2 linked regions of the Tamandua tetradactyla genome follow. The main gene of each other region encodes a partner of the protein of the gene in region 2 in a complex. Links are inferred from orthologs where the notes say so. Each region holds a gene or a part of one and is shown on either strand. Other genes may lie near its edges. The genes, in order: MAGOHB and UPF3B.

What was found.
Region 1: UPF3B (region 2) and MAGOHB share a complex: the UniProt entries of both Homo sapiens proteins name them as parts of the mRNA splicing-dependent exon junction complex. The link is inferred for Tamandua tetradactyla from reciprocal best matches to the Homo sapiens genes UPF3B and MAGOHB.

Annotation. Positions count from the first base shown.
Region 1 is NC_135333.1:73,221,713-73,237,105, forward strand, and holds the start of MAGOHB (protein mago nashi homolog 2), read right to left. Parts: upstream 6,447-15,393; 5' UTR 6,382-6,446; coding exon 6,288-6,381; intron 4,095-6,287; coding exon 4,036-4,094; intron 2,530-4,035; coding exon 2,419-2,529; intron 385-2,418; coding exon 302-384; intron 1-301. Other genes in the region: tyrosine-protein kinase STYK1, read right to left, coding at 13,236-13,440. UniProt on the Homo sapiens protein: Required for pre-mRNA splicing as component of the spliceosome. Plays a redundant role with MAGOH in the exon junction complex and in the nonsense-mediated decay (NMD) pathway.
Region 2 is NC_135353.1:46,948,582-46,964,161, reverse strand, and holds the start of UPF3B (regulator of nonsense transcripts 3B), read right to left. Parts: upstream 5,822-15,580; 5' UTR 5,658-5,821; coding exon 5,502-5,657; intron 4,585-5,501; coding exon 4,478-4,584; intron 4,300-4,477; coding exon 4,193-4,299; intron 1,535-4,192; coding exon 1,436-1,534; intron 82-1,435; coding exon 1-81. UniProt on the Homo sapiens protein: Involved in nonsense-mediated decay (NMD) of mRNAs containing premature stop codons by associating with the nuclear exon junction complex (EJC) and serving as link between the EJC core and NMD machinery.

The sequences.
Region 1 (15,393 bases), on a different chromosome or scaffold from region 2:
ATAATTAAATATGGATTTTTCTTTAAGTTTTGTGACAATATCTCCAGATTTTTACATGAAATAGCTAATAAAATTTGTACTCATCTAATGTACTTAGTTATTGAATTCAGACTTTTTTTGGAAATCTGTAAAATATTCTGACAGAAAGGATAAGTCTTTAATAACATAAAAATGAAAAAGATCTACATAATAAAGTGATATGATGTCAGTGAAGTAAAAATCTTAGCAAATAAATTGGCTATAGTTCCAAAAGGAGTCTAACAGATTATGTTAATTTATCCGAAGTGCTTAACATACTTACTTTGACTGATTTACGTCAATAAGAGAACCTATTTTTGACGTAGTAAAAGAAATGTGTTCATCTCCAATTACAATTTCAAGCTCCTGAAAAAAAATTAAATAGACCCAAAAATGCAATTAATAGAAAAAAAAGTCTATTCCAGAGATATCTGTATATCTGTTACAAAGAGGTTCCAATTCAGGCTCCAAGTTTTCTAGCAGTCATTCAGGAAGAAAAAGAGAAACTTGTTCTGTTATTCATAAAATGACATCCGTAAAAAAAACCAAATCAACTGTTAAGAGCACTAATCCCAATTATAAGACCAAGCAAGAATTGCTTCTCACAGTCTTCATAACAAGGGTACTATAATGTACACATATTATTATATAATAATGAAATTATTAAAATACTTAATAACACAAAAATCTTTCTTGTAATGTTAACAAAAACTAAAGGCATCACTGTGAAGTACAAGGTTATAAAAATAAGTATATGAGTATAAACCTATTATTAAAATAAATTCAGCACATTACAGCCCTTATTAAATGCTATCAACAATCATAAGTTTTCAACAAATTTGGCTCTTACATGGCATATTTCACCCTCCCCCCCAAAATAAAAACCATACACACATTTTCCCTTTTTAGCAGGCTCTACAAAAATAATAATATCTACACTTTTGTACCTACTGTCAGACCCTGGTACTAGGGACTTTGTAAACATTTGCTGTAATCCTTAAAATATCCTTATTAGATAGGTTTTATTCATCTAATTTTATAAATATGAAATCCAAGATTCAAAAAGTACAGAAAAAAATTGCTATTTACAACCACTGGTAAGTAATGGTACTGATATTTGAACCCAAGAGACTAAGACTCAAAAGACCCACACTCTTTTGAGTTTATAAAACAATTAAAATTAAAAATTAACAAATATAATACAAGATAGATGATTCTAACATGCCATAATTATATAAGTTTTTCTCTATACTGTCTGTCTGTAAATCTGAAATCATTAATTAAGAGGCTATGTCTATAGCTAGTTTTCCAGTCAAACTGACAAACAGATGCCATCAGAGACAGCCCTAGGTATATACTGATCAACAAACCTAATTATTTACACTTTGTAGCAAATATCAAATGGAGAATTAACTAGACTCTCAAACAATCATAAAATACTTGACTGAATGATCCAACTGATAATTTCTGAAGCATGCCCATTCTTCCCAGCTAACAAAAATATGTGAATACATAACAGCAAGTGGACAGATGAAATATTGGGCTCTCCCTGAGTCTAAAATATACGAAAAGTTTGTTGCTGTTTCGTTTCTGTTTTTTAGTACATATGTACATGAAACAAACTGAAGTCTAGTTTTACTTTCAAAAATGTTACACTGCATAAAATAAATACTATTAATATTACCTTTGTGTTCCTAAATACTGTTTCTTTAAATAGAAGAGTTAATTTACTGTTACAAAATGTCAGTATCTGTTAGATTTCTCCACATTTTCTTCTAGTCAAAGGAGGTAATATAAAGCATACTCCTCAGGAATAGATAAGAGTGAACTTAAATGTTTCTTCCTTCCAAAGGTGGTACCTCATTTCTCCAAGAGTTGAAAAGACCCGATTTAGAAACCAAACTGTCTTTTCACAGAGTGAAATTAGGCCTTCAAAGTTCTTCAGAAGCCCTTGGAGAAATATCAGTTATTCTAAAGAGAATATGAGAGATAAAGGCAATAGTCAGTTTGAACAAAGAAAGCAATCAAATCCCTCTCTGGGTAAAGGATGCAGATAAGAATTCTGAAAGTTATAAATTTGGAAAAAGTGAATTTTATATACTCAAAGAGAATCATAAGTCTCAAATAGAATAAGCAACACTTGTAGCTATTCCTAATAAAAGCGGTTAACATACAATATAAATTATTCACAACAGTATGAAAATATTCTAATTTTGGCTGGGGTGTCTACAGAGAGACTAAGGAGTAAGATGTCTAAAAATAGAGCTAAGCATTTATTCCTTTACTACTAAGATATAGGACAGAAAATGGAAAATCAAAGGATCAATGAGGAATGATTCTAAGGGAAACATACTATCAATTTTTAATATTTCTGCATTAATATCTCTACTAAATACAAACCTGTCTGCCAACCCTGTCAGGGGGAGGCCACAAAGCATCATCTTCTTTTGTAATTTCACTGTCATCAATAATTCTCTTCAGTTCTTCCATTACACTCTTATGTACATATGCCTGAAAATAAGTTACAATAAAAATTTCATGATGGCTGCCTATTTTTTTCCACAACTGAGAAAGAAATAATAAAAAGGGGTTATAAACACTGAATATTCAAATAAAATATCATAGAAAAAAAATTAATTCTGATTCCAAAAGTACAGAATGGTAATCATTCACTTTTCTTATTTGTCTTCACTCTCCAGCCCTTTCCTTTAATTTATATTTTCTCTCTTTTATCCCCAGCCCTCTTTTTAAATCTCCCTTTAAAATTCTGCCTTTGAAACATGGGGACTCAATTTCAGAGTGGTTTATGGGAGAACAGAGGCAAATGCCAAGGACACATCACAGTCAGTGCTCCAAACTTATTCCTACACCTAACTTTTGAGCCTCTGATTTAAAATTAATACTATTTTTAAATCATTATAATTGGTTTTAAATCATTAATAGAGCAAAAAGACAAAGTTAATAGTAAAATGAATTACATGCTATATTCAAATGTGGACTACTTAATATATTTAGATTGCTTCTTTTGTTATTACAGACGTTATGGTTATCTCATTTAAATTGAATCTCTTCTTAATCTATAAAGTTGCTTCTTCTTTACAACAAACAGCCTTAGATGTACTTTCGTAGCTTCAATAAATACATGAAAAAAATGAGCTAACCACAATCTTAGGGTTTGTTCATATGAAACTGAACTCTGCAAAGGATAGGCTAAGCCTACTTAATATTAGGCCTAAGAGTTACCCCCAAGAGAACCTCTTTTGTTGCTCAGATGTGGCCTCTCTCTCAGCCAACACAACAAGCAGACTCACTGCTCTCCCCCTCTCTACGTGGGACATGACTCCCAAGGGCGTGGACCTTCCTTTCTATGTGGGACAGAAAGGTACTCAGCACCAAGGTACTCAGCACCAAGGGATTGAGAAAACCTTCTTGACCCAAAGAGGGAAGAGAGAAACGAGACAAAGTAAAGTGTCAATGGCTGAAAGATTCCAAAGAGAGTTGAGAGGTTATCCCTGGAAGTTATTGTTAGACATTAAATAGATATCACCTTTTTAGTTAAGGTATAACAGAGAGGCTAGAGGGAACTACCTGAAAATGCAGAGCCATGTTCCAGTAGCCATGTTTCTTGAAGATGATTGTATAATGATATAGCTTTAGCAATGTGACTGTGTGATTGTGAAAACCTGGTGTCTGATGCTTTTTTTTTATCTACCTTATGGACAGATAAGTAAAACATACGGTTTAAAAATAAATAAATAGGGGGAACAAATGTTAAAATAAATTTAGTAGATTGAAATACAAAAATGAAAGGGAGGGGTATGGTATGTATGAATTTTTTTCTGTTGTCTTCTTCTTTTTTCTGAATTGATGCAAATGTTCTAAAAATGATCATGATGAATATACAACTATGTGACAAGAGAAAAAAGAATGTTCACATTGTGTGTTTACTGGTTTTATTAATAAAATTTTTTTTAAAATGAACTAAATATAAGAATTAGATATTTAAAAAGAACTTACCTCTTTTCTGATCATAACATCATTTTTGTAATTGCTGTTGTTGGCATATCTAAGCTTTCCTATGGGAAAAGAAAAAAATTCAATCTGTAACAGCAGAAAAGGCTAAAAAAATATTGTAAGCAATTTTGAAGGTAAAGACCATTTTATGCTGCTATTTTATTATTATTTCCTCCTTCATGCTTGGTGAAAAAGATGCTCAATAAATATCTGTGGGTAAGTTGGCTGAAGCTAGCCAAATTTTTAAATATTCCATTCCTACAATATATGACAAAAGGGTCATTTTTAAGGCCCCTTTTCCTAGCTATCACAAATTAGCAAAGGATTTTGGAAAAGGTACTAACATTTATTTTTCAGGTTATAAATCTGAACTGGTGCTAAGTGGTTTAACTTAGCACATCTAATCGAATCTAAAAGCAAACCTTAGAAAGGTTTTATTACCTCTATTCACAGGTGAGTAAACAAAGTAACTTGCCCATGGTCACACAATATTCAAATTTATATATACTGTCTTCCTATACTCATGCTTTCTCCACTACTTCAAAATGTTCTTTTAATTATTTTCCTTCAACGTAAATGTAATTATAAATATGGCAATACTAATGCTTTAGAATTGTGACTAGAAAGTATACAGACTACACAAAGCTCCCATACAGAAGTTGACTAGTTTGTTGGCTGGTTTATATTTAATTTTAACACATCATGACTTTCATATTCCCTGATGCACACTTCTCATTGCCAACTCGTTGACCAGGTACAGAAGCAAATTTTGTCTTGATCATCTGCATTTAATGGTAATAGGGTACCCTACTGAGGTGTATCCTTTAGGTACTGTCTTTGCGAGTCATTGTTACTGATGGAAGTATGTAGAATGGTTTGACAGCAGGTAAATGGATAAGAAGCACTGTTCTGGGATGAAAATTCCCTAATAGCCTCAGGGTACTTCATTTATGTAACTGAGTAAAAGTGATATTGAAATGCTGGATGGTGGTCACAGGTGAGGATACTGTGAAAACTGTATCATGTTAAGGAATAAATAGGTGAAGAATTCAGCTCCTTTACCTCCTTAGCTAAATTTGGAAAAGATATGGGGAAAACAAGCCTGAATAAGGTAATAAGGGTTTCTCATCTGCAGAGCAATAGTTACCTAGATTCCTGCCTGAAATGTCTATACTCTTCCCCTTTCCTAATATGTGACCCTCTCCCTAATTTTTCTTTCATGCTTTCGTAGAACCTTTTCCAAAGCATGATTACAGCACTTCTTATCCATACTGCTGTATGGTCTGTTTCATTTCTGTGTCTTTTACCAAGACACAACTCATTGAAGGCAATTAAAGAGTCTTACCATTACAGTATTCTCAATTTCTGTATATGACACTTTGCCCCAACACATAATATGCATTCAAAAAGGAAAAATCTAATCCAGTTGAACTGTCCTGTGACAGGCAGGCAGAGTTCAATACGCAATAAAGCACTTTAAAAGAGTTTGTGCAGTCAAGAGATCAAATTTGCTGTACATTTCGTGAGTGCTGGGAGTTTCACCTCGCCCTCTACTCATACTGTTTTGGTAGTCTGGACTATCTCCCTCAAAGGTCATGAAAATACCTACTCTTATTCCAAAACTCATTTCTAGGAAGCTTTTTCTGACCCTCATCAGATAGAGCTAATCACTAATCACTTTTCATGTCTGAATTCCTAACGTACTACTGTGGTAGACAATCGAACCCCAAACACATCATTTCACTCTTCTGTATACACTTCGGGGACTCTCCCCTTCAGAGCAGGTGTCATTTCTTTCTTGACCTGCTGCTTTACACACACTGCCTGAATGAAAAAAAGTGAATGAATGGGGAGAACGAAAAGTAATCAGTCACTGGAAAATTTTAAGCATACACAGGCCCACCGCTGGGTAGGGTGTTGTTATAACTGCCCAAGTATTAGACCTTCTGCCACACGGATTCTAGGATTCTGAATACCACTGATTCAACTTTTCAGTGTGTGACAGTATTAGCTTTTCTGAACTCACACCAATTAATCCTTTTAGTCACAAGAATCAACTTAGGCTTCCTATATTCTTCAGCTACTTACTTCGGCTCAAGCAGCGGCTTCAGCTGCCACAGAACACTTTCAAGTCCACCGCGGCTTGCTCGCTCCACCCCACACCCCTAGTCCTTCGCCGCCTCTTCTCCTGGCTTCCCCTTTCCCGACACCCCCGCAGAGTTGCAGTGCCAGCAGCCCCCCCCCAGCCCACTCACCATCCGGCCGAAACTCAAACTCCAGAAACTCGTGTCCAAATTTGCCTTTGTGCCCTACGTAGTAGCGTAGGTAGAAATCGCTGGCTAGAGACATTTTTGTTTCCGGGAAGCCGGCAGAAGGCCTGGGCAACGTGCCGTCCGGCGCCTGGGAGTGACGTCAATCGCCCCGGATTAGCGCGTCATCGTGGTCGCCGCGCTTCCGCCTCGCAGATTCTGCGAAGGCAAGAACAATGGCTGTGTCTCGTGGGAGAGGCTCCGGAGAGAGCAAAGGCAGGTCAAAAGTGACTTGAACTGCTTTGCGGAGATCGGAAGTACGCTATTTTAAAAATTAAACGGATTTTGTCATATTAGCAGAAGACGAAAGTATGAAAATACGGTACTGGTTTTTTGTGTGTGCGCTTAGTGCTAAGGATTGCAAGTCGCTTTATTCTGGTCTCAAGTCTCGCGCAGTTGTAGGCGGTGGATGTGGCTTTACCCAATTTTAACTGGTTAAGTGAGTGAAGATAAAACCCAGAGTCGATGGGAAATTCGTCATACAACAACTTTCTCTACGTGATTCCTAACACCGGGTTTTCCTTTTGAACGATGATTGTTAGTTTTCCTGGAGACGGACGCCTGTAATAGAGACACAAAGTATAGAAGTAGCCCTCTGAGGAGATGTCTGAAGTTTTGAAAAACATATTGAAACTGAAAATTCTGACAGCCTTGGAATAAAAGAGTTCCTTTAATAGTAGAAACTTCTTAGATGCTTCATTCACTGTGTAACTGTTAACCTTTAGTGACCTATGGAGTTTTGGCAGTTTGACTCAAGATCAAATAACGGTTTAATCCAGGTTTCTCATATAGATAGATATAAAATTGATAAAAATAAATTGAGAAAGTGAAGGTAAGTTCTACTGTGAGGTAGTTTTGAAGATGGAAAAGACAAGGTGAGCTTTTACACAAAGTCTGGTTTTCTGATATTGGACAACCTTCTGTTACGAACAGTTATGTGTCAGATGACCCTTAACCTTCACTGGAATTTCATGGAAAGAGTAGCAGTCCGAAGACCTGAGATTCAATCCCAACAGAACTACTACCTAGTTCAAGTTAGTAGTTCTAACTTGTTCAAATCACTGTATGTTCATCAAGGAAACAGGTGTACTACAAACAAGCTTTGCCAAACTCATGAAATTGTTGATTGGAGTAAATGAGATAATGTGTGCGAATAAGCTTTGAAATTTATAAAATACTACGTAATGCATTTTAACAAGCATTTTCTTATTTGTCAGAAATAAAAAGAAAGACTTTTGCACTTGTAGTCTAGAAGAGAAAACAAACATGGAGAAAGGTATTAGCACAAGGAAGCAACTGCTATATTAAAAATTTGTGGAAAAATATGCTGATAGTGCAGGAGAGGAGCAAGTGTATTGCAGAGAGAGGAAGCTGAAGAAAGGTATCAAGGAAGGCTTGTGAAAAGGTGTGCTATTTTAATTGGACATTGACAGATAACTTCAGTGTGTCTTCAGTGGGATGATATGGCCTGGGCAAAGGCACAGTGTTATGAAAATACTTGGTGTTGGAGAATCCAAGAAATGCAGTATACCTAGAACATAAGATTCTCTGAAGTAGAATAACTAGAAAGACAGACTGGGCCAAGGTATGTTGGACCTTATAAATAAGGTGTTACTATATAACTGTTTCTATAGAAATTTTACTTGGTATGAACTACTATAGGCCACCATTATGGAAAATACATAAGAAACATAAGGCACCATCCCTAACCACTACAGTGACAAACCAGTCCAGTTTGTCCAGCCTGTAAGGTTTGCTAGGATGTCAAAACTTTCAGTTTTAAAACCTGTGAGATCCCAGACAAAGATGATGTGGTCATTGTACTTACCACATGAATAACCCACTGAAATTTAACCACAATATTCAATACAACTCTGAAATATTTACTGTAATCCATTTATTTATGTGGTAATTTGGAGCTATGCAACCAGAAGAATATGTTTTTAAAATTAATCTGTTCCTCTGGGTATGAACCCATTGTAAGTAGGACCTTTTGAGGAAGTTACTTCAGTTAAAGTATGTTCCAACTCTATCAGGATGGGTCTTAATCCTATTACTGGAGTCTTTTATAAGTAGAATGAAATTCAGACAAATAGAAAGCAAGAAGTTGAAGGTCAGAAGCCTTCAGAAGAGACCACCATGTGCATTGCTGTGTGATGCAGGCGCCAAGGACCAAGGATCACCAGCAGCCATCCCTTGAAGGCCACTCTAGGGGAAGAAAACGTCACCATGATGATACCTTGATAACAATAAAGCATAGATTTGGACTTCCGGACTAAAACCATGAGTCAATAAGTTCCCATTGTCTAAGCCAACGCATTACATGGTATTTCTTTGAGCAGCCAAGAAAACTAAAGCAATTTAGTTTCTATGGGAAACCTCGTTCATTGTCTTTAGATTTCCTAATCTGTTTCCTTCAAATTTTTAGTCTATGTGCCAGTATTCCTCTTCATGTCTACTTAAAGAGAGCTATGGATACTAGAATTTTTGACTATGTAAATAAAGCTCATGGAATATGCAAAGATTTAAGGTCTTTGTCAATGGGCCAGTTTTGGTTTTTACCCTCCTAGAAAGGCTTTTAGGCTCAAGACTAATCCCCTCTAGCTCTACCTGTTTTTATGATATAATATGAAAATATATTTACTCAGCTCTTCATATTTTAACCAAAATAGCAAAGCTAAAATATGTATTTCTCTAATCATGATAAAGATTGCAAAGTGACTAAAGCATTTGTGTTTTGTAGTCTTCTCAGATGTTACCCAACAACAATGTGGAAATGTTCTGTGTAGACAGCACTTGAAATGTAGCTAGTGTGACTGAGGAACTGAATTTTTAATTTTTAAATATTTAAAAATTTTTGTTCATCTAAATTAATGTTTAAGTAGCCACATCTGGCTAGCATGATGGACAGTGCACTTGTATAAAGCCCTTTTTTTCTTTTTACATTTTTACTTGGGCTGGGAATAGTGAAAGCATTTTGTGAGTGTGTTTAAATCTCAGTAGCTCTAGGCTTCACATTGCGGCATACTTACTGGTATCACCACAATTTACTTATGAAAATAAATGTTTGGGCTGCTTAAATGAAGGCAAATAAAAGTCTTTCATTTGGACTGCTGTTTTCAGCTTTGCTAACACAACCTATCTTTGGTCAGCTTCAAAGCACCTACATGAGGATGGTGCAAGATTAATTGATGAAGAATTCTTCCTACCATCCTGGAGCCCTGGGTTCAATTCCCGGACCCTGCACTTCCGAAAAAGGGAAAAAGAAATCAAAGCACCCTTGTGAGGTATTAGGAAATAAGCACGTGATTTCCAATTTCAATGAAAATTGAAAAGAAATGATTTAATCAAATAATACACAACTTTAAAATTGGCAAAATAATTCTTTCCTGCTACAGTTTTTTTGTCTGTGTGTGTGTTTTGTTTGTTTTAATTTTTGCTTTCAGGTAAGGGGGCCGGGGTCAGAGATGATTCTTTATCATTACAAATTTATTCTTTAAAATGTTCTGATTTCTCCTACATCTAAAATTCTCTCTTCCTTTGATCGGTTTTTCATATCCCCACTGTCCTCCCCTCCTTTTTTTTTTTTTTGTCTTTATACCTATTTCAAATTATCAAATCATTCCTATTTTCAATTTTCAGAAACATGGGCTAACTTTCCTGTGATAAACATTGGGGGTGGTAGTTTTACTCTCAGTTTTCTTTATTTTATCAATCACTTTTGAATAGTCCTTTATCCGTCTGTCTACCCTTGTCTTCTGAAATAGTCTTCCTATAGAATTTTAACCATATCTGTCTTTTTAACCACTCAGTGGTATTACTTTTTAACTAAGAGAGCCACTGTCATGCAGAAAAAACAAAATTTCCACACCGTTCTTTCTCAGATATGCTCATTCATATATTATGAGCACTTGCAGCTATTCTAGATTATCATGGCATGATATATTTAACTCCATTATTCAAACTAGGAATTGTTTTCTAGTGTATGATGATATTGAATGCTTCTAACATGTATCATAACTGCTAATTCTTGTGTCCAAAACAACAACGAAAGAGTCTGTTGAATTAAGCATAGGCCTGGTCTGGATCTTTCAGTACTTGAATTATTTAAGTGAGTTATGTTAGTCCAGAATTTTATACATATATAACAGCAATGTTAAGATTAATAAAATTCTATCCATTAACTTATTTTTTCTTTTTAAAAACAGTGAAAAATCCCCACTATTATTCAAGTTTAACAGCAGAATACCCTAAATCTAATGTAAGGATACTAATATCTTCATGAGCATAATTTGAGAACTATTGGTTCAGACTATTCCAAATTAAACTATGTTATCAAGTTTCCATTAGTTACAGTATCCAAGTAGATATTTTCACAGTTCCCAGGATTGTTGGAAATTTCTTAACAATAAAGCATAGATTGAGCAAACAAGATTGGAGGAGGCAGGACTCAAAACAGCAAAACATATCCTAACTTGAATTAAATAGTAAGTATTTTAATAACTTTTTCCATTCATCATCCTCCGTTAATTTCCATTCATTTGGTTGACAGGTCAAAGATGCCAGAAATATAATCACTGTTTTGGAAAAAACTTGGCCATGTGAGCTAAAGACCAAGGTTTCTTAGAGTAAAAAATTACTGTGTCCAGTTTCACAAACCTATAACTAGAAAAATAAAATAAAATTAGAAATAAAAATTTAAAAGAGCAATTATCTGCTTCTTTCCCTCCTACCAAAACAAATGCAAAGATACAGTGTGAAAAAGCAGTACCCCATTTTAGCTTTTGCCACTTTCTCCCTAATTCACCAGGCTTGGACTACACTTGTTTCTTGCATTTGCTTAAACCAACTATGCTTTTTTTTACTTCAGGATTTCATACACACAGCCCTTCCTGTTTTTGTCTGGCTTACTTACCCATATCTAAGTCTTCAGTTTAAATACTATTTCTTCATGGAGATCCCCATTCTATACTGTATTCTTCATAGAACTTAGCACTGATTTATAATAAACAGATATCTACACAAATAAATATATAATGTCTCTACTCTTGACTATAATCAAAAGTGCTCTATTTCTTTTATCTCATCATACCTAGCAAGTATTTGGTGTAGTGGGCCCTAGGACTCAATTTTTTTAAAAAAAATTTGAATAAATACTCCCTAAATTTGACTTAAGTGAACTGCTGAGAAGCAACAATGGGATTCCAGAGGACATTCTTATTATGTGCTAAGATGCTCTACCTTCCTTCTCGCTACTGCTACTTCCACCCATTTAAATCCTGACATTGTAGTCATTGTGGTGTTTCAGCAGGTGCCAGCATCATTACTCGGTTAGCCGACTCATGACATTGTCAGGATTCCAACTTCTAAAAAGTTTACCACTGCCTGTCATTTTCCCTGTAGGAGTCTTAGGTGTCACTCCTAGAGTACCTAGAGTATTCTTTAAAATCAGGATCACCATGTTCTACTGAATTTTTTTTATCATGCTATTTCCAATATTTTGAAATAGTAGGCAACTATTATTACCATTCAGAAGTTCACATTAAAAAGATGACTTCATCATTTTAATCGTGGTATGTGTATCATCATTTGTAGGCATGGCCTGCCTTGTGGTGTGGCTGACAGACTAAGGTTCTCTTCTTAGCCTTGGCAGATTTTAAATGAAAAAGATAAGAAAAGTTTAGGGACAGTAATGGGGAAAGTGAGGAAACTAACATGTATTTAGCATATATTATGTACCAGATAATGTATACAGTATACACGCTCATCCATTCCTCACAAAACCCTGTGAGGGGTAGGTATTGTGCCCATTTTACACATAAGGAATCCCTTTGTTGACAAAATAAGTTGTCTCTTCAAATTTTCTATTGATATAAAATCCATTTATTTACTTTTATCATCTCTAGAGACTTTGGCTGCTGTCAAATATTATTATTTCAATAAATATTTATTTAATGAAATGGTTCACAGTACATCAACAGGTGACTAGAAATTAAAAGCCATCCTACCTCCTTCTCTGATTGCATCCTTTTCTATCCCTTTTAAAAGACCTTCTAAGCTTTCTGACTTAGTTTCCACATTTCCTAATTATGAAGCACACAAACAGCATTTTCATCACTGTCAACTTTGACTCTTTAAGTTCAGTCCCCTTAATCTTACAGGGACCAGGAAGTTTGCCTGCTGAACAATACGTGTCAAATGTTATTCATGAATCGATTCCTCCAACCTTCTAGTTAAAAGCAGTACCAACAGTATTCTTCTGTTTTAGAATTAGATAAAAGGGACCATCTTTCTCTTTTTTTATACCCAAGAGGAAACTCAGGAGTTTTCCTTCTTGGTTATTCTCTATCCCAAGAAGTAGGGACCTGGACTGAAGAACTTAATGTCCTTCCTCCCCACCTACTCTTCAAAGGATGGCTTTGCTCCACACCTATATTCTCCAGCAAAGAAAACCTTTAATTTTATTTCTCTCCAATTCCTTCATTGGCTTCCAGTTCCCTTACTTGATTCCAGCTTCTCTTATAATAGTCTAGATAAAAGCATGCTTCAGGAGGAAAGTAAGCTGGAAGAAAACAGCTTATTTGTGCCATGCCCCAACAAATACTGCAGATTCCCTAAACCTCCTTTGCAGTGACACTATCCACCACTTTTATCCTGGATCTTTAAGAAGGTTTTAAGAATTGGGCTAGAAAAAATGAAGCTGACATTATTTTTCAGCCTCAAGGTATGGTGGACAGCTTCAGTGAGCATCATTTCAGGTCTCTAGGGAAATGTTGGGTGAAGACCCAGGGCCCATGTCCCATTTCTCCCTTTATGTCCCACTAGAAAGTCCACTTTCTGTAACTGGTTCCAAGAGTATATGATCAATCATAACTGTTTCTTCCTGAAGGGTCCTCAAAGGATGCTGTAGTTGTAAGAAAGTCTCTCCACACTGATGCCCGCCACAGCAGCATACAGTTCAGGTACCACTAACTCTGGTACTTGCAATACAGCCTTGTCATTGGCAGTTCGAGCAGCAGTTTCTAGGCGCAAACGAAGCTCTCCAGGTGAAGGGCGGCTGTCCTCACTCCAGCGCCAGCAGGACTTCATAAGACTATACCTGAAAAGGAAACAAGAGAAACTGACTTCCTTAGCAAAGGAAAAAAAAAAAAAGTATATGCGGAACATGATCCTTTCCCAACAAGCCTTAACAAAATAGTGTGCAATTCACTAATTTACTTCTCTTTGCTCTGTCCCTCATATTCTTTCCAGAGACTAATGACATTCCTTCTCATCCTCTCTTAATATTATATTTTCAACTGACTCATTTTATAAGGACTCAAAATTTTTCAAACCACAGCCACTGTGACAGAAGAGCGTTTTCACTCTACAGCCAATCACTGTTACAGAAATTGAATATTCTCGTCTTTGCTGTTATTAACTTGCAACATTCCAGACAATCGCTATAACTTATCTACCAGGAAAAGCAACATTACAACCAGAAAAATAAGAAGTTATGGAATAATGTGATTTATAGTAATCTCAAATAATGTGATCAGATTCTTCTTTCAATGAATCTAGGTCATTTTCCTTCTTTATACTTTGACTTAAAGTCTAACTTCTCTAGGAAGTTGCCTTAAAATAAAATTACATCCACTTTTAATCTATCTTTTCTTCAGTCTGGCCTTCAGACAATGTATAGTGTAATCTGTTTTGAAACACTTTTTATCATATCCCATTCTTGCTCAAGAACCTACAGTGGTTTCCCATTGCTTACCATATGAAGTCTACATCTTCCCCTCTAGCTTCTCTACCTTATTGGCCCTGCCTAGCTGCCTCTCCTCTCCTCCAGTTATATCAATCTCTTGCCATGCCCTAGATGTGGTTACCAGTGCCCAAACTTGCCTTTGCTTGTGCCATACCCAGTTCTTTGAATAACCTCTCCTGGCTACCATTTTCTACAGGGCTGGTTTAAACCTCAATTCCTCTATAAAATCTTCCCTCATAAACCTCAATCTAATATGTTTCCCACATTCACACATGCATCAGTGAGACTTTGTAAATGCTATTACTTTAATAATGCTTCTAACATTTACCAAGAATTTGTTATATGTAAAGCATGATAATGAGACTTAAATGTATTATTTCATTCGAGCCTCACAATAACTTTAAGGTGGTATCATTATTATTTCTACTTTAACATAAGGAAGCAATGTACAGAAAAGATCAACAATTTGCCCAAGACCACACAGATAGTAAGTAGCAGGGCTAAAATTGGATTCCATGTCTTTTTAATTCTAGGACATGAGACTGAGTTTTTAACCTTTTGCTATATTGCCTCACACTTTATGTTCATTTCCATAGTGTTTCAGGTATCTTCCCATCAAAATGTTAAATTCTTCAAGATCAGTTACCTTGTTAGTTTTCTAACTCTCTCTACTATTAAAGACAATCTTTACACATAGTAAGCCTAAAATAAATATTGGTCAGCAAATTTCAGTCTAATATATTCAGCCAACATCACCTTAGACATATATTTGTATATGTATACATAGTCATGATATCTTATCAACCATTTATTATTTGTTTGATGCAGTAACTACTTTTTTACTGTATGAGAAACCAAGTGCTAAAAATTTACCCCTTCGGTGCTAAAATATTTACAGAATATCAACAATTCCAATAGAAATGTTCATCAATATATTCTTTCCTGCCTTATTAAGGGTAATTTGACCTTTTCTTAAGTTCTATAACAATTCTTTTTTGTACTTTATTGGTGATAAAATTATTTATGTCACCTTTTGTCAGAAGTGGATGAGACAGGTCACATGCATGCTGCAGAGATAAAGCAAAGCTGTCTCTGTGGGAATGGGCACCTGATGTCCTGAAAAGACTAAAGTGTTGCAAAGCTGTTGGAGTCTGGGGCTGAAGGAGGCCTTGGGAAATATGTGCAACTTTTGACTCATCCCAGCACAGGGAAGCAGATGGTTCAGCTGGTGCTTACTACTTCCCTGTTGTTTAGTTACACGTTTGTTACTTTCTTTGTCTCACAGCCCTATAAAATAAACAGTGC
Region 2 (15,580 bases):
CCTCTAGCAATGTCTCTGGAGTAGAAGTCATTTTCTCATTATCTGCAGCATAACTTTCCAAAAACTTTCTATACTCTGGATCTAAATAATCAATAAAGAAAACAGAAAAGCAGACTTTAAACAAAATAAGGAATATTATCTAGGATACTTATGTATCAAAGAAGATAATTTTCTACTTCATAAAAGATTGGAAAATACATCAAATCATATCCATACAAGATAGACTAAATTTTACTGAGGACTTATTCTCAGAACTCCAATTACTGATACCTACCATGAGAGTTTTGTATAACACAGGTATCAGGGAAAATGAGACATCATGCTTTATAACAGACACACTAGGCATGTCATATAATTTCCTTTTAAATGTCATTGTTCCTACTAATCCCACTTACAGGAGAACTAAAAGGTATAGCCACAGGATCTTCAGAGGGTATTAAACATTGCATGTAAGCAATCCCTACATGGGTATATCCCACTGTAAGTGAACTTAACATGAAAACCAAGTGTCCCTAAAAGATAAATCATGGGGAAATCCTAGATGTGGCACCGGAAGTGATGATAATTCTTGGAGTTTTCCTTAGACACCTAATATCAGAAAGAGTAACACATCTGAGTCATTATATTGCTTTTATTTGGACTTTCTATGCACTGTTGAGCATGTCACTTGATCCAGACTTCTGGATCTGAATACATGATATAATCAGTAAGTGGCTGTGTGTTATTTGGTCCTTATTGTGTTTTCTTTATAAAATACCAGTTACAGAAGTGAATGAGACATCAAACAAGATAATTCTAAAATATCAATCTGATATAAAATATCGGGGCCAAGGCCTTATCCAAAGAACAGAAAAAACTGGTTACAGAGAGCTTTACCTTAAATGGCAGTTATTCCTGTTTGTCATTTCCTATACGTCAGTTCAACCTAATTATTGTAGGTAACTGCACAGTCAAAGCCTAGAAATAGGATTGACCACTTCAGCTGCTTTATATTAAGTTATTCAGACATGGAAAATTTTCCATCATGGCTCTCAATAATACACCTTTTACTTATATAAGGATAATGAAAACTAAACGTCAATCATGAAAATGTTAAGAGATCTCAAGAAACAGCTGTTATACTTTGAAACATTTGATTTTTTCCATTGTCTTCTAATCAATAGACTTATGGTGGTTTGCAACTCAATAATTAATACTATACTACTTGATTATGGAGACTGAAATGCCACCAGCAAAAGAGAGTGGAAACTCTTTGCAGGAAACCTATCTCCATTCTAACAATTAAAAACACCTCCTTTGGCAAACATTTCTCATTAATTTTATTCAGTATACTTTCTTATGCAAAGTACTGGGGTCTAACTAGCTTTCACAAAGGTAATATTAAAAAAAAACAAAAACACGGCAATAGCATTACATAACTATAGCTATAGCGTACCATCATCAATAGTCCCAACTTTGGTATCTCTTTTCTTAGTCTTCTTTTTTGCAGCTTTTTGAAAGGGGGCAAATTCTACTATAGCAGGATATTCTTGACCTATTTAGAAAAAGGAAAACAACACACCTGCTATAACAAAGAAAATGTCAAAAGTGGATACAAGTGAGTCAACCCACAGTTTTCTAGGGCCTCTTTGATGACACCTCTCAATGAGCATAAAACACACTGACACAACTAGAGTCAATATGGTATCAGAGGAGTCCAAATGTCACACTGACAACATAATGAAAAAAATGTGCCAGGAAAGAAAAAATATTTATTTAAATTCAACTTCTAAAATGTGATATTTTGATATGTGAAACCTAAATACAATCTAATTTTCAATAAAAAAAAATCAGAAATATCCAGAATAGGTACAGCTATAGAAACAGAGAGTAGATTAGTGATTGTCTAGAACTGGGGGAGGGGTGAGGAGAATAGAGACTAACAGCTAAAGTATATGGGGTTTCTTTGTGGGGTTGATGAATGGTTTCTAAAATTAGGTTACAGTGATGGCTGCACAGCCCTGTGAATATACTAAAAACCACTGAACTGTATACTTTAAAAGGGTGAGTTTATATGTAAGAATCTCAATAAAGTTGTTATGTAAAAAATATGTATCAGTTCCCAATCAGAGAACAGTGTCGCACAAGGTATAAGATATTATCTTTAGATCACTGGCATAGAGGCAAGCCAGAATGAAATAACAAGAATTGGCCAGGAGGCATCACAAAGCAGTCATGGAAAAAACATGATTCTGGAAATCCTAGTGAATGTAGAATCAGATTAGGTTAATAACTGTGTTATATTTTAGGAGAGGATAGAGACCATTCTGTAGCAGAGGGAAACTGAAGATAGGCTCAAAAAAACACCAGAAGGGAGTTTAGACCACGGGGGATCCTGAATACCAAGTTAAGGAGTTTGAACTTTTTTTTTTTTTTTTTTTTTTGCATGGGCAGGCACCGGCATGGCAGGGAGAACTCTGCCTGCTGAGCCACCCTGGCCCGCCCTGGACTTTTTTTTTATATGATTGCTATATCTTAAAATCAGTATTTTCAAAAAGATTAATTTCCTGGTAATATAATAGACTGAGTTATATATAAATGGAAAATTCTACAAGTTTAGAGGCAGTGATTGTCCAAGCATTAGATGAAGACATAAACCGTGAAAGTGTAAGTCTACATGAAAAAAAAATGTCATAAAGTGTGAAAGTTTAAGTCTGCATCAAAAAAATCAAGAATTGACAAAATTCATCATTTATTTAAATGTAAGGGATGAAAAAGGAAGAAAAGTTAAACACAATTCAGATCAGGCTAAATGATTAGGAAATCATTACTATATACTGGAATAAAGAAGCAGCTGGTTTGGGGTATTAATAAAAGTTGGCCAAACACAGTTAGCAATCCAACTTTTACTGGCATATTTGCTGATAAAGAATGAAAATTTTTTTACCATATGATTATTCCATTCTTGTTATATAATCAATAACTCACAATATCATCACATAGTTGTATATTCATTATCATGATCATTTCTTGGAACATTTGCATCAATTCAGAAAAAGAATTAAAAAGAAAACAGAAAAAAATTCAAACATACCATACCCCATACCCCTCCCTTTCATTGATCACTAGCATTTCAATCTACTAAATTTATTTTAACATTTGTTCCCCCTATTATTTATTTATTTTTAGTTAATATATTTTTCTCATCTGTTGATAAGGTAGATAAAAGGAGTTTCAGACACAAGGTTTTCACAATCACACAGTTACATTGCAAAAGCTCTATCATCTTAAAGAAACATGGCTACTGGAGCACTGCTCCACACTTTCAGGCAGTTCCCTCCAGCTTCTCCATTAACATCTTAACTAAAAAGGTGATATCTATTTAATATAAGAATAACCTCCAGGATAGCCTCTTGACTCTGTTTGTAATCTCTCAGCCACTGACACTTTATTTTGTCTCATTTCACTCTTCCCCCTTTTGGTCGAGAAGGTTTTCTCAATTCCTTGATGCTGAGTCCCAGCTCATTCAAGAATGACTTTTTATCAACTTTGAAATAATACCGAAAAAACAAAACAAACGACACTCCATTTACCTAGGATTGCAGAACTAAAGGAAAAGTGACCAATGGCAGTTTAGACATTCCCTATCTATAGCTTATAAGCAGCAGATAATAAAAAGAAAGCTAAGGTGAAAATGTTTCTTCCCTATAGATTGGATCCTCCTGGGTACAAAGAGGAACATCATCAAATTTCATGTCTTAATTACATACAAAATAGGGAGAATTCTGTGTTGCATGTAGAATACATTAAACAGTATTCTAACTGGAAACTATGGGCTATAAGGGATTTGAATTAAATAATTAAATAAATGTTGGTCCTTGAAGCAAGATGATAAGTAAATATATAAAACTTGTCTTACAAGTTCAAAGAGTCATTTATCAGTACTGCTGTTGAGACTAGTAAATAATCCAAATAACGTTATGTAATCCAGGGCACAAAATTTATTGTATGAAAAAAAATTGGTGGCAATTTCATGCAGGTGATCAAACCACAGAAATAACAGATCAATAAAAATACTCAAGGGCTGTGAAAAATCACATATATATTTAAAAGACTGCAATAAGGTTTTCACATGTGTAAAACTTTTTAAATGTTGTATATTTTACCACCCAGGATTTTAGAAACGCTATGAAGGCACTGAGGATATGCTCACCTTTATTGTCAAGGAATACATAACCATCAAAGCGATCCCTGAATAAAATAATGTCCTCTTGGTTTTTAAAGTTGATGTATGCTCTGGCATACATATGAGGATACAGACTGCAGAGAGGAAAGCAATTGTGTTAATAAACTGGTGGGTATCTGGTTGAATTACAAGTATATGTACATTAAATAAAGAGACAGTTTCAAAAATCAAATTGAAAATATTAGTAGAATGCAAAGAACAGAAGAAATCTTTTTCTAATTTACCACCCCATCCCACTTTTTTTTTTTTTACCTAGTATCATTAGAAAAAAACTCAAAATAATCATGCTCTGGCATAGGCTGAAGATGTTCCTGAAGCTGCTCCTTGGTCAAAGTGGGAGGTAATCTCCGAATCACCACCTTAAAAAAATGAATAAAGGAATTAGTAAAAATCAATTTCCTGTCAATCCTGAAGGAATCATAATCCCTAAGGAAGGATGAGATTTAAAAGTCATTACTTACAAAAACCCAGGAGAAAATATTTTCTGTAGCCTAACGATCAGAATTAGTCAAACATAATAGTAAGGCGGTTTTAAAAAAATTCCTACAAATGAGAACCGCTTGGCATTAGGAAAATCTTAGAGTCTGCTCTTAACTCGCAGTCCCGCGGTATTCTAGGTTTACGCACCATTTTTCTATTACCCATTTTTCAACAGGTCTAGTGGTAAATCAGTAAGTCAACCCTGGTCTTTTGTGGGTGCCAAGGACTCTTGATTCATTAATCTTTCTCTCCCACATCTAACACCTCCTAAAACAAAATCCTTCATTCAATTCAATGAATTCAAACTCTAACGAGCATGAAAACATTCACACCACTGCCCCCGAAATAAGATGCTCCCCATTCGCCTTCCACAGACCATTAATTCCCCCTACACTCTTCCCCAACTCGCTTCCATTAATATTGCTATCACAGGCTACTCCCGCACCTGATGTTCCCTTCACTTCCTAATAATTTTCCTCAATAAACTTTTAAATTTCCGATTCTCCTCACTGTCGCGCACCGTCTCACTTCATAATTATCATCTCACAGGTTTGACCTAAACCCTTCTCGTCTGGGGAGCCCCCCTTTTTCCTCATTCCCACGGCCGGGCTTGGCCGGTAGGAGCTCCCCCCTCCCCTCATTTCGAGCAAGTGGATGAGGCACTGTGGTGCGATTTTCATTCAGGCGAGGGAGGAAGAGGGGGACGAGGAGATGAAGAGGGCACCCCCATTCCCAGCCATCATCCACTGGCGGCGGGGCGTTCCGCCCTCTCCCCGGCCAACAGTCGACCGAGTACCTTGCTCATTGCCTCTTTCTTCTCCTTACTGCGATCCAGCTTATCTTCTCCCTTGGCACTGTCCCCCAAAGTCCCACAGCTGCTGCCGGTAGCCCCCGGCGGCGTTAGCAGGGTTACCCGCTTCTCCTTCGGCCTATGCTCCTTTTCTTCCTTCATGGCCACGGCTACGCTCTTCACAGATCTGCTCCGCCAGAACGCTGCTGCGCCGGGAACCTAACGAAGCCAGCCCAGCTCCCGTCAGAGCTCCGCCCCCAACAATGCCCCTAGTTACGAGCTCCGCCGCTCGTTTGATTGGGCAGTGCCAAGACCTCGCGAGATTTCATGCACCAGGCTTCCCTCCGAAGAAAAGTTTCAACACCTGGTGCTTACTTCTCGCACGGCCGAATCCTGTCATATCCCAGACTCCCTTGGGGCCCGCTCCTTCGCACAGGATTGGCTAACACCACCGTCTTAAATAAAAAGACTCTTTCGAAAACTACAAGTCCCGGCATACAAAGCAGTTGCCCCTTCTGGTTGAGAGAGGCCAGGGTCCCTATTTGTAAGTAAATCCAATCCTTTAATCTTGAAAGATATAGGTTCTGCGGGCTGCACTTAGCTTTGTTTTCCTCGTATAAATCCAGTGTTATCCAAAATTTGCCTTGCTACGGGAACGGCTTGTATTTTCTTGATATTCTGAAGTGTACTTTCAGAAACTTCAGTATTTTCCTTATATTGATTAGGATCCATAGCTGATTCCCAGATACTTAATAAATACTCATAAGATTTGGTATATGAAGGATTTAATATGACTAAAATATGTGAGATTTGTTTTCATCACTCGTTTATAATTTAAGAAAGGATTCTATTATTGTATTGATGCCTCACAAGGAGGAAAAAATAAAGTAAAACCTACTTTGACTTAGTTGGGGTAACCCTCCTCAGTTAAAAAAAGTCAATTATACATTATTCTTTTTTTAAATTATTTTATTTTATTTTTTTAAATACCAAAAAACACCTAACAAACACAAACATTCCTATTTTGATCATTCCGTTCTACATATATAATCAGTAATTCACAATATCATCACATAGTTGCATATTCATCATCATACTCATTTCTTGGAACATTTGCATCTATTCAGAAAAAGAAATAAAACAAAAACAGAAAAAAATTTTATACATACCATACCCCTTACCCCTCCCTTTCATTGATCACTAGCATTTCAAACTAAATTTATTTTAACATTTGTTCCCTACATTATTCTTAATAGACCCAAACTGGAGAGAGTCCAGTGTCGGTCAAGTGATGAATGATTAAAAAAAAAAAGTGCGTTGGTACGAGGAAATACACCGCAACAAAACGAACTGATATCACGCATCAGAATTGATGAATCTCAAGCTAAGTATGCTAAGTAAAAGAATGCAGACGCAAAGAGAGGACATGAGGACATGCTGTATGATTCCACTTACATGAAATTCTAAAGAAGGGCAAAATTGTAGTGATAGAAACCAGATCAGTGATTGCCAGGTACAAGGGAAAACATTTAGGGAAAAAGGGGAGAAATGGAAGAGAAAACAAATGATAAGCTAGAGAGATACACAGATATTCACATAAGGCAGGATACCAACTTAAGGATACATTAGGAGCCCAAAGCAGAAAGTTGGCTCAGTACCAAATTCCTACTTTTGCTAATGTCTAGAATATATTATTCAGATCTGTACTAAAATTTTCCCACCCCTATTTCCCAGCCTATGCTGAGTTCCTAATGCCTGTTGCAAAGACTGTTTCCCTGAATTTGTGGCCTGTTTTGCACTTTTGCTTTCAATACCTGCCTGTTCTTATAAGCCTTGCTTAAGTATATTCCTTTGACATCCTCCATAACTCTGCACTTACATCTTGGTGTATACCCCCATTTTGAATGCTCATTAGCTTTAAACCACCAGTTACATATCAGTTATTGGAAATAGAGTGTCCCAGGGCTCGGTCCTTAGAACTCTTTTCTATCGATACTCCTTTGTTGAGCTTATCCAGTCTTCTGACAACTCTAAATGTATATATCCACTGTGTATCTCTCTCTCTGAATTCCAGACTCATAGCGAATTGTTTACTTGACATCTCCTCTTGGGTATCTAATGTCTCCAGTATCTCTGAACACATTTGTTTCGGTTTCCTTGTTGCTAAAGCAAATACAATTCAATGGGTTATCGTAAACAATTGGAATTTGGTGGCTTATGGTTTGAGGTTAAGAGAAGTCTTAATTGAGGTGTTATTAATGCAATGCTTTCTCCCAGAAGACTGGAGTTGTTTGCTGCTGCCTGCAATGCTTGGACCTTGGCTTTTCTGTCACATGGCAATGCATATGGCAGACTCTCCTGGCTTCTCCTTTCTCTTCTGGGTTCCATTGACTTTCAGCTTTTGGCTGCTCCCTCTGGCTATCTCTCTTTCTGTAACCGTCCATTTAAGGCTTTCAGTGATAGGGTTAAGACCCATACTGATTCAGCTGGGCCACACCTTAATTGAAAAAACCTCATCAAACATTTCTATATACAACAATTCATACCCACAGGAATGGATTAAGTTTAAGAATATTTTTCTTGGTTACATAGCTCTAAAACATCACAACATCCAAAACATAACACTTGATCTTCCCCCACACCAATTGTGTTAGTCCTAGTGTTGCCGTAGCAAATTATCACAAACTTAATGGGTTAAAATATCACAAATTTATCTTGTGGTTCTGTAGGTTGAAAGTCCAACATGGGTGTGCTAGTTTGAAGCTGTTATGTACCCCAGAAAAGGCCATGCTCTTTTAATCCATTCCTTTGGGTGCAGACCTGTTGTAGGTGGGACTTTTTTTTCAATTAATTTTTAAATTTTTAGAAAAGATATGACAAGAAAGAAACACAAATATTCTTAACATATGATCATTCCATTCAACATATATAAATCATTAATTCACAGTATCATCACATAGTTGCATATTTATCATCATGATCATTTCTTAGAACATTTGCATCAATTCAGAAAAAGAAAAAGGAATAGAAAAATTCATACATGCCATACTCCTTACCCCTCCCTTTCATTGATCACTAGCATTTCAATCTAAATTTTAACATTTGTTCCCCCGATTATTTATTTTTATTTCATATGTTTTACTCGTCTGTTGATAAGATAGATAAAAGGAGCATCAGAAACAAGGTTTTCCCAATCACACAGTCACATTGTGAAAGCTGTTTCATTATACGATCATCTTCAAGAAACATGGCTACTAGAACACAGCTCTACATTTTCAGACAGTTCCTTCTAGCCTCTCCATTACATCTTAAGGTGATATGTATTTAATCCGTAAGAATAACCTCCAGGATAACCTCTCAACTCTGTTTGGAATCTCTCAGCCATTGACACTTTGTCTCATTTCACTCTTACCCATTTTGGTCAAGAAGGTTTTCTCAATCCCTTGATGCTGAGTCCCAGCTCATTCTATTATTTCTGTCCCACGTTGCCAGGAAGGTCCACACCTTTGAGAGTCATGTCCCTCGTAGACAGGGGGAGGGCAGAGAGTTTGCTTGTTGTGTTGGCTAGAGAGAGAGGCCACATCTGAGCAACAAAAGAGGTTCTCCTGGGCGTGACTCTTAGGCCTAATTTTAAGTAGACTTGACCTATCTTTTGTGGGGTTAAGTTTCATATGGACAAACCCCAAGATTGGGGGCTCAGCCTATAGCTTTGGTTGTCCTCACTGCTTGTGAGAATATCAAGAATTCAACTTGGGGAAGTTGAATTTTCCCCCTTTCTCACCATTCCTCGAAGGGGACTTTGCACATACTTTTTTATTCACTGTTAAAATCACTCTGGGATTTATCGGGGCATCACTCTGGACAAACCAACAAAATATCATGCCCTACTCAGGGTTCCATGTACTTACGGTATTCAATTAAGCCATCTACATAAGTTATATTAGGAAATGCACTAGTCAAAATATAAATTTTGTACCAAAACATTTTTTGCTATAGTGTGACACATAGTTAAAATTTTAAAATATTAATTACTATCAATTTTCAACACCCTGCAGTAATGACGTTCCTATGTTCTTGTAGGTGGGACCTGTTGATTAGGGTTTTTCAATAGAGATGTGACCCAACCCGTTAAATGTGGGTCTTAATCCTTTTGCTAGACTCCTTTAGGAGAGAAATGACAGAAAAAAACCCAGAGAATTTCATAGAGAAAACCCGCAGGGAAGTTAAGAGAAGACCTACAGAAGCTCAGAGAGGAAGCCACTGAAGCCAGAAGCTGGAAGCAGTAAAACCCAGGAGAGAAGGACTAACAGACGCCGGCCATGTACCTTCCCATGTGCAGAGGTTTCCCAGATGCCAGTGGCCTGTCTTCAGAGTCAGGTGTCATCCTGTTGATGCCTTAATTGGGACATTTTCATGGCCTTAGAACTGTAAATTAAAACTATAGGTTGTAATTAATGAATCCCCATTTTAAAAGCCAATCCATTTCTGGTATATTGCATTCTGGCAGCTTTAGCAAACTGAAAGAGTGGGTCTCATTGGGCTAAAATCAAGGTGTTGGCATGACTGAGTTCCTTTCTGTAGGCTTTAGGAGTGAATCTACTTCCTTGATTTCTTTGTCTTTTCCAGATTCTTGAGATTTTACTCATTTTCATTGATTTGTGGCCCCTTCATCCGTCTCCAAAACTAGCAACATAACATCTTTCTAACCCTGCTTCTGTTATCATGTCTCTTTCCATGATCCTCTTTTCTGCCTCCACCATCCACTTTAGGGAACTCTGAGTATATTGGTCTCACCTGGATAATCCAGGCTAATCTCCCTATTTTAATAGTCAATTAGTAATCTTAATAACACCTGCAACCATAAATGCCCTTTGCCATGTAACCTAACATAGTCACAGTTCCAGGGAATAGGATGTGGACATCTTGGGTGATGTTGGTACTGCAGCATTATTATGCATATCAAACACTGTAAACTTTCTTTTTAATTAAACTTTTAAAATTTTTTATTAGAGAAGTTGTGGTAATTAAACTTTTAACTAAAGTATAACACATGTATAGACAAGTGCCCAAGTAATAAGTGTATAGCTTGATGAATTTTCACAAGGTGAACACACTCATGTAACTAGTTTTGAGATTGAAACAAAATATTGCCAGGATTCCAGAAGCTTCTTTAGTGCCTCTTCCCCATCACTCCCCCCACCAAGAATACCACCTCCTTACTTCTAACATTGCTGATTAATTTTGCATGTTTTTGTACTTGATGTAAAATGACTCATACAGAATGCATTCTTTTATTGTTGGGGTTCTTTCAATATTTACAACTATGAGATTTATCTGTGTTATTGTATGGAGATGTGAATTGTTCATTTTCATTGCTTTGGTATTCCGTTGTATGAATCGACCACAATTTAACCATTCCACTGTTTGTGGCTGTTACAAATAGTGCTGCTGTGAACATTCTAGTACATGTCTTTTGGTGATGATATGTATGCATTTCTGTTGAATACATACCCAGGAGGGGAATTGCTCCATCATAGCATAAGCATATGCTCAGCTCTAGTAGATACTGCTAAACAGTTTTCCAAAATGGTTATACCAGTTAACACTCTTAGAAGCAGTGTGTTGAGAGTCCAAATTGAATCACACCTTTGCCAACACTTGTTATTGTCTAGTGGGTGTGTAGTGGTATCTCTTTGTAGTTTGATTTTTGTTTTAAATTTTTATCGTGAGAACAAGCAATGGGGACAACCAAAGCAATAGGCTGAGTCCCCAGTCTTGGGGTTTGTTCATATGAAACTTAACCCCACAAAGGATAGGTCAAACCTATTTAAAATTAGGCCTAAGAGTCACCCCCAAGAGAACCTCTTTTGTTGCTCAGATGTGGCCTCTCTCTCCAGCCAACACAACAAGCAAACGCACTGCCCTCCGCCTGTCTACATGAGACATGACTCTCAGGGGTGTGGACCTTCCTGGCCACGTGGGACAGAAATCCTAGAATGAGCTGAGACTCAGCATCAAGGGATTGAGAAAACCTTCTCGACCAAAAGGGGGAAGAGTGAAATGAGACAAAGTGTCAATGGCTGAGAGATTCCAAACAGAGTCGAGAGGTTATCCTGGAGGTTATACTTATGTATTAAATAGATATCACCTTGTTATTCAAGATGTAATGGAGAGGCTGGAGGGAGCTGCCTGAAAATGTAGAGCTGTGTTCCAGTAGCCATGTTTCTTGAAGATGATCATATAATGATATAGCTTTCACAATGTGATTGTGTGATTGTGAAAACCTTGTGTCTCATGCTCCTTTTATTACCTTATCAACAGACGAGTAGCACATATGTAATAGAAATAAATAATAGGGGGAACAAATGTTAAAATAAATTTAGATTGAAATGCCAGTGATCAGTGAAAGGGAGAGGTAAGGGGAATGGTATGTATGAATTTTTTCTGTTTTCTTTTTATTTCTTTTTCTGAATTAATGCAAATGTTCTAAGAAATTATCATGATGATGAATATGCAACTATGTGACGATATTGTGAATTACTGATGATATATGTAGAATGGAATGATCATAAGTTAAGAATGTTTGTGTTTGTTGTATTTTTTCAAAAAATTTTAATTAATAAAAAAAATTTTATTGTGAGACATATGCCTAACATAAAATTTGCCATTTTAACCGTTTTTAAATATACAATTTAGTGACATTAATTATATTTACTGTATTGTGCTACCATCACTACTATACATTACCAAATTTTTTTCATCACCCAAAACAGAAACTCTGTACCCATTACATAATAACTGCTAATTCCCATTCTCCCAACTCCTGGTAGCCTCTAATTTACTTTTTGTGTTTATAAATTTACTTATTCTAGATATTTCATATAAGTGGATAAATATTATATTTATCCTTTCATGTCTGGCTTCTGTCACTTAGCATAACGTTTTCAAGGTTCATCCATGTTGTAGCATGTTTCAGACTTCATTTCCTTTCATGACTGAATAATCTATTTTATGTATATACCACATTTTGTTTATTCATTCATCTGTTGATGGACACTTGGGTTGCTTCCACCTTTTGGCTGTTGTGAATAATGCTTCTATTAACATTGCTATACAGATATCTTTTTGAGTGTCTGCTTTTACTTAACCTTGCAATTATGTACCTAGTAGTGGAATTGCCAGATCATCTTTTAATTCTATAATTATAATTAGCTTTCTGAGGAACCCCCAGACTGTTTTCCACAGTGGCTGCACCATTCTACATACCCATCAACAATGTATGAGGGTTCCTATTTCTTCACATCCTCGCCAACACTTGTTATTTATTTATTAATAATAGCCATCCCAGTGGGTGAAGTGGTATCTCATTGTGGCTTGATTTGCATTTCCCTGATGAATAATGATATTAAACATCTTTTCATGTGCTTATGCCATGTATAGAACTCCTTTGGAGAAACATCTATTCAAGTTTTTAGCCCATTTTTTCTTTTGATTTTTAACTTTTTATTGTATAGTATAACATGTATGCAAAACAAAGAAATAAAAAACAATAGTTTTCAAAGCATTCTTCCACAAATGATTACAGGACAGGTCCCTGAGTTTGTCAAGGGCTACCATATGATCCTCTCATATTTTTTTTCTAGCTGCTCCAGAATATAGGAGGCTAGAGGGCTTAATTTTTTTTTTATCATCACAATCAAAATTTTTTCCTTTGTTTGTGAAAATTAACATATCTCCAAAAAAGCTATAAATTTCAAAGCACAGCACTACAATTAGTTGTAGAACATATTTCAGAGTTTGACATGGGTTACAATTCTACAATTTTAGGTTTTTGCTTCTAGCTGCTCTAAAATACTGGAGACTAAAAGAGATAGCAATCTAATGATTCAGCATTTATACTCATTTATTAAATCCTATCTTCTTTGTATAATTCTACCATCACCTTTGATCTTTCCATCTCTCTCTTTAGGGTTGTTTAGACTATGGCAATTCTAAATTTTTGATATTGGAAGGGTCTGTCACTAATACGGGGTAGGGAAATGGAATTATCTGATGTTCTAGAGAGGCTGGGCTAGGTTTCAGGACTTATCTGGACCGGGGACCTATGTGGAGGTTGTAGGTTTCTGGAAAGTTACTCTAGTGCCTGGAACCCTTGTAGAATCTTATATATTGCTCTAGGTGTTCTTTAGGATTGGCTGGAATGGTCCTGGTTGGGGGTTGGCAGGTTATGATAGGTAGCAAAGTCTACCTGAAGCTTGCGTAAGAGCGACCTTGACTCTATTTGAACTCTCTCTGCCACTGATACTTTGCTCTCTCTGCCACTGATACTTTTTTTTTAAAAGCTAGAGATTTATTGTTATTTTGTGATTAATAAATCGTCAAACTGGTTATGACACTATCCCACACTTTATACCACCATTAGCAAGGTACAAAAGATTTAAACCAGACTTAAGCATAAGGCATAAAGAGCAAAGACACGTGACTATCATCCTTAACACTTACTCTACTCATGCCTCTATGACTTCTGTACATGTCTTCCTTCTAGGTAAAGTGTCAGAACAGTGCACGGACTGGTGGGCAGCATGCTGCAAGCATCTACAGAAGTAATGGAATTCAACTTGTATTTCCCTTGATTTTATTGGCCTGACTCATTTTACATTACTTAAACATTTTAATTTCCTGTAACTGTATATGAGAGAATATAATGACCTGAGAGAATACTGAGCCAGTGTCAGCCAAATATATCACTGACTCCAACATTATGTTTTCGTTGGTCCTAAAGGAATGCCCCATCCCAACAGTTTCAAAGTTAGGGAACAGGATTTCTTTGGGAAGAGAAGAAAAAGGCTATAGAATGGCCAGATATTCTCAACACTGATAAAATGCTCTTTGTTTTTCACCCCTGAATGATACTTCTTTACTACACTATATGCACAGAAACCCTAATAAAACCTTGGTTGCCAATATCATCTAGGCTGGCCCAATACAAATAGATAGTCCCCCCAATCCTGAATCTCCCTTCTCTGAAGCTCTGAAAAGCACAATATTTAACTATTTCTGAAGAGAACTATGAAAACACTTCAGAAACACCACTGATACTTTTAACCCATTTTTAAATTGGGTTCTCTTTTTGTTGGTTCATTGTAAAAGTACTTTATATATTCTGGATATCAACCCTTATCAGATACATGGTTTCCAAAGATTTTCTCCTGTTCTGTAGGTTGTCTTTTCATTTTTTTGGTAATGTCCTATGATGCACAAAGGTTTCTAATTTTGATGAAGTCCTATTTATCTATTTTTCTTTTGTTTCTAATGCTTTGGTGTAAAGTCTAAGAATCTATCACCTAATAAAAGGTCCTGAAGATGAAGATATTTCCCCTATGTTTTCTTCTAAGAGTTTTATAGTTTGAACTCTTATATTTAGGTCATTGATCCACTTTGAGTTAATTTTTGTAAATGATACAAGGTAGGGAGGTGTTTTTATTTATTTATTTATTTATTTATTTTTGTTGTTTTGTTTTTTTTGGGTTTTTTTTTATTAATTAACGGAAAAAAAGAAATTAACCCAACATTTAGAAATCATACCATTCTACATATGCAATCAGTAATTCTTAACATCATCACATAGATGCATGATCATCGTTTCTTAGTACATTTGCATCAGTTTAGAAGAACTAGCAACACAACAGAAAAAGATATAGAACGTTAATATAGAGAAAAAAATAAAAGTAATAATAATAGTAAAAAAAAAACCTATAGCTCAGTTGCAGCTTCATTCAATGTTTTAACATGATTACTTTACAATTAGGTATTATTGTGCTGTCCATTTTTGAGTTTTTGTATCTAGTCCTGTTGCACAGTCTGTATCCCTTCAGCTCCAATTACGCATTATCTTACCCTGTTTCTAACTCCTGCTGGTCTCTGTTACCAATGACATATTCCAAGTTTATTCTGGAATGTCGGTTCACATCAGTGGGACCATACAGTATTTGTCCTTTAGTTTTTGGCTAGACTCACTCAGCATAATGTTCTCTAGGTCCAACCATGTTATTACATGCTTCATAAGTTTATCCTGTTTTAAAGCT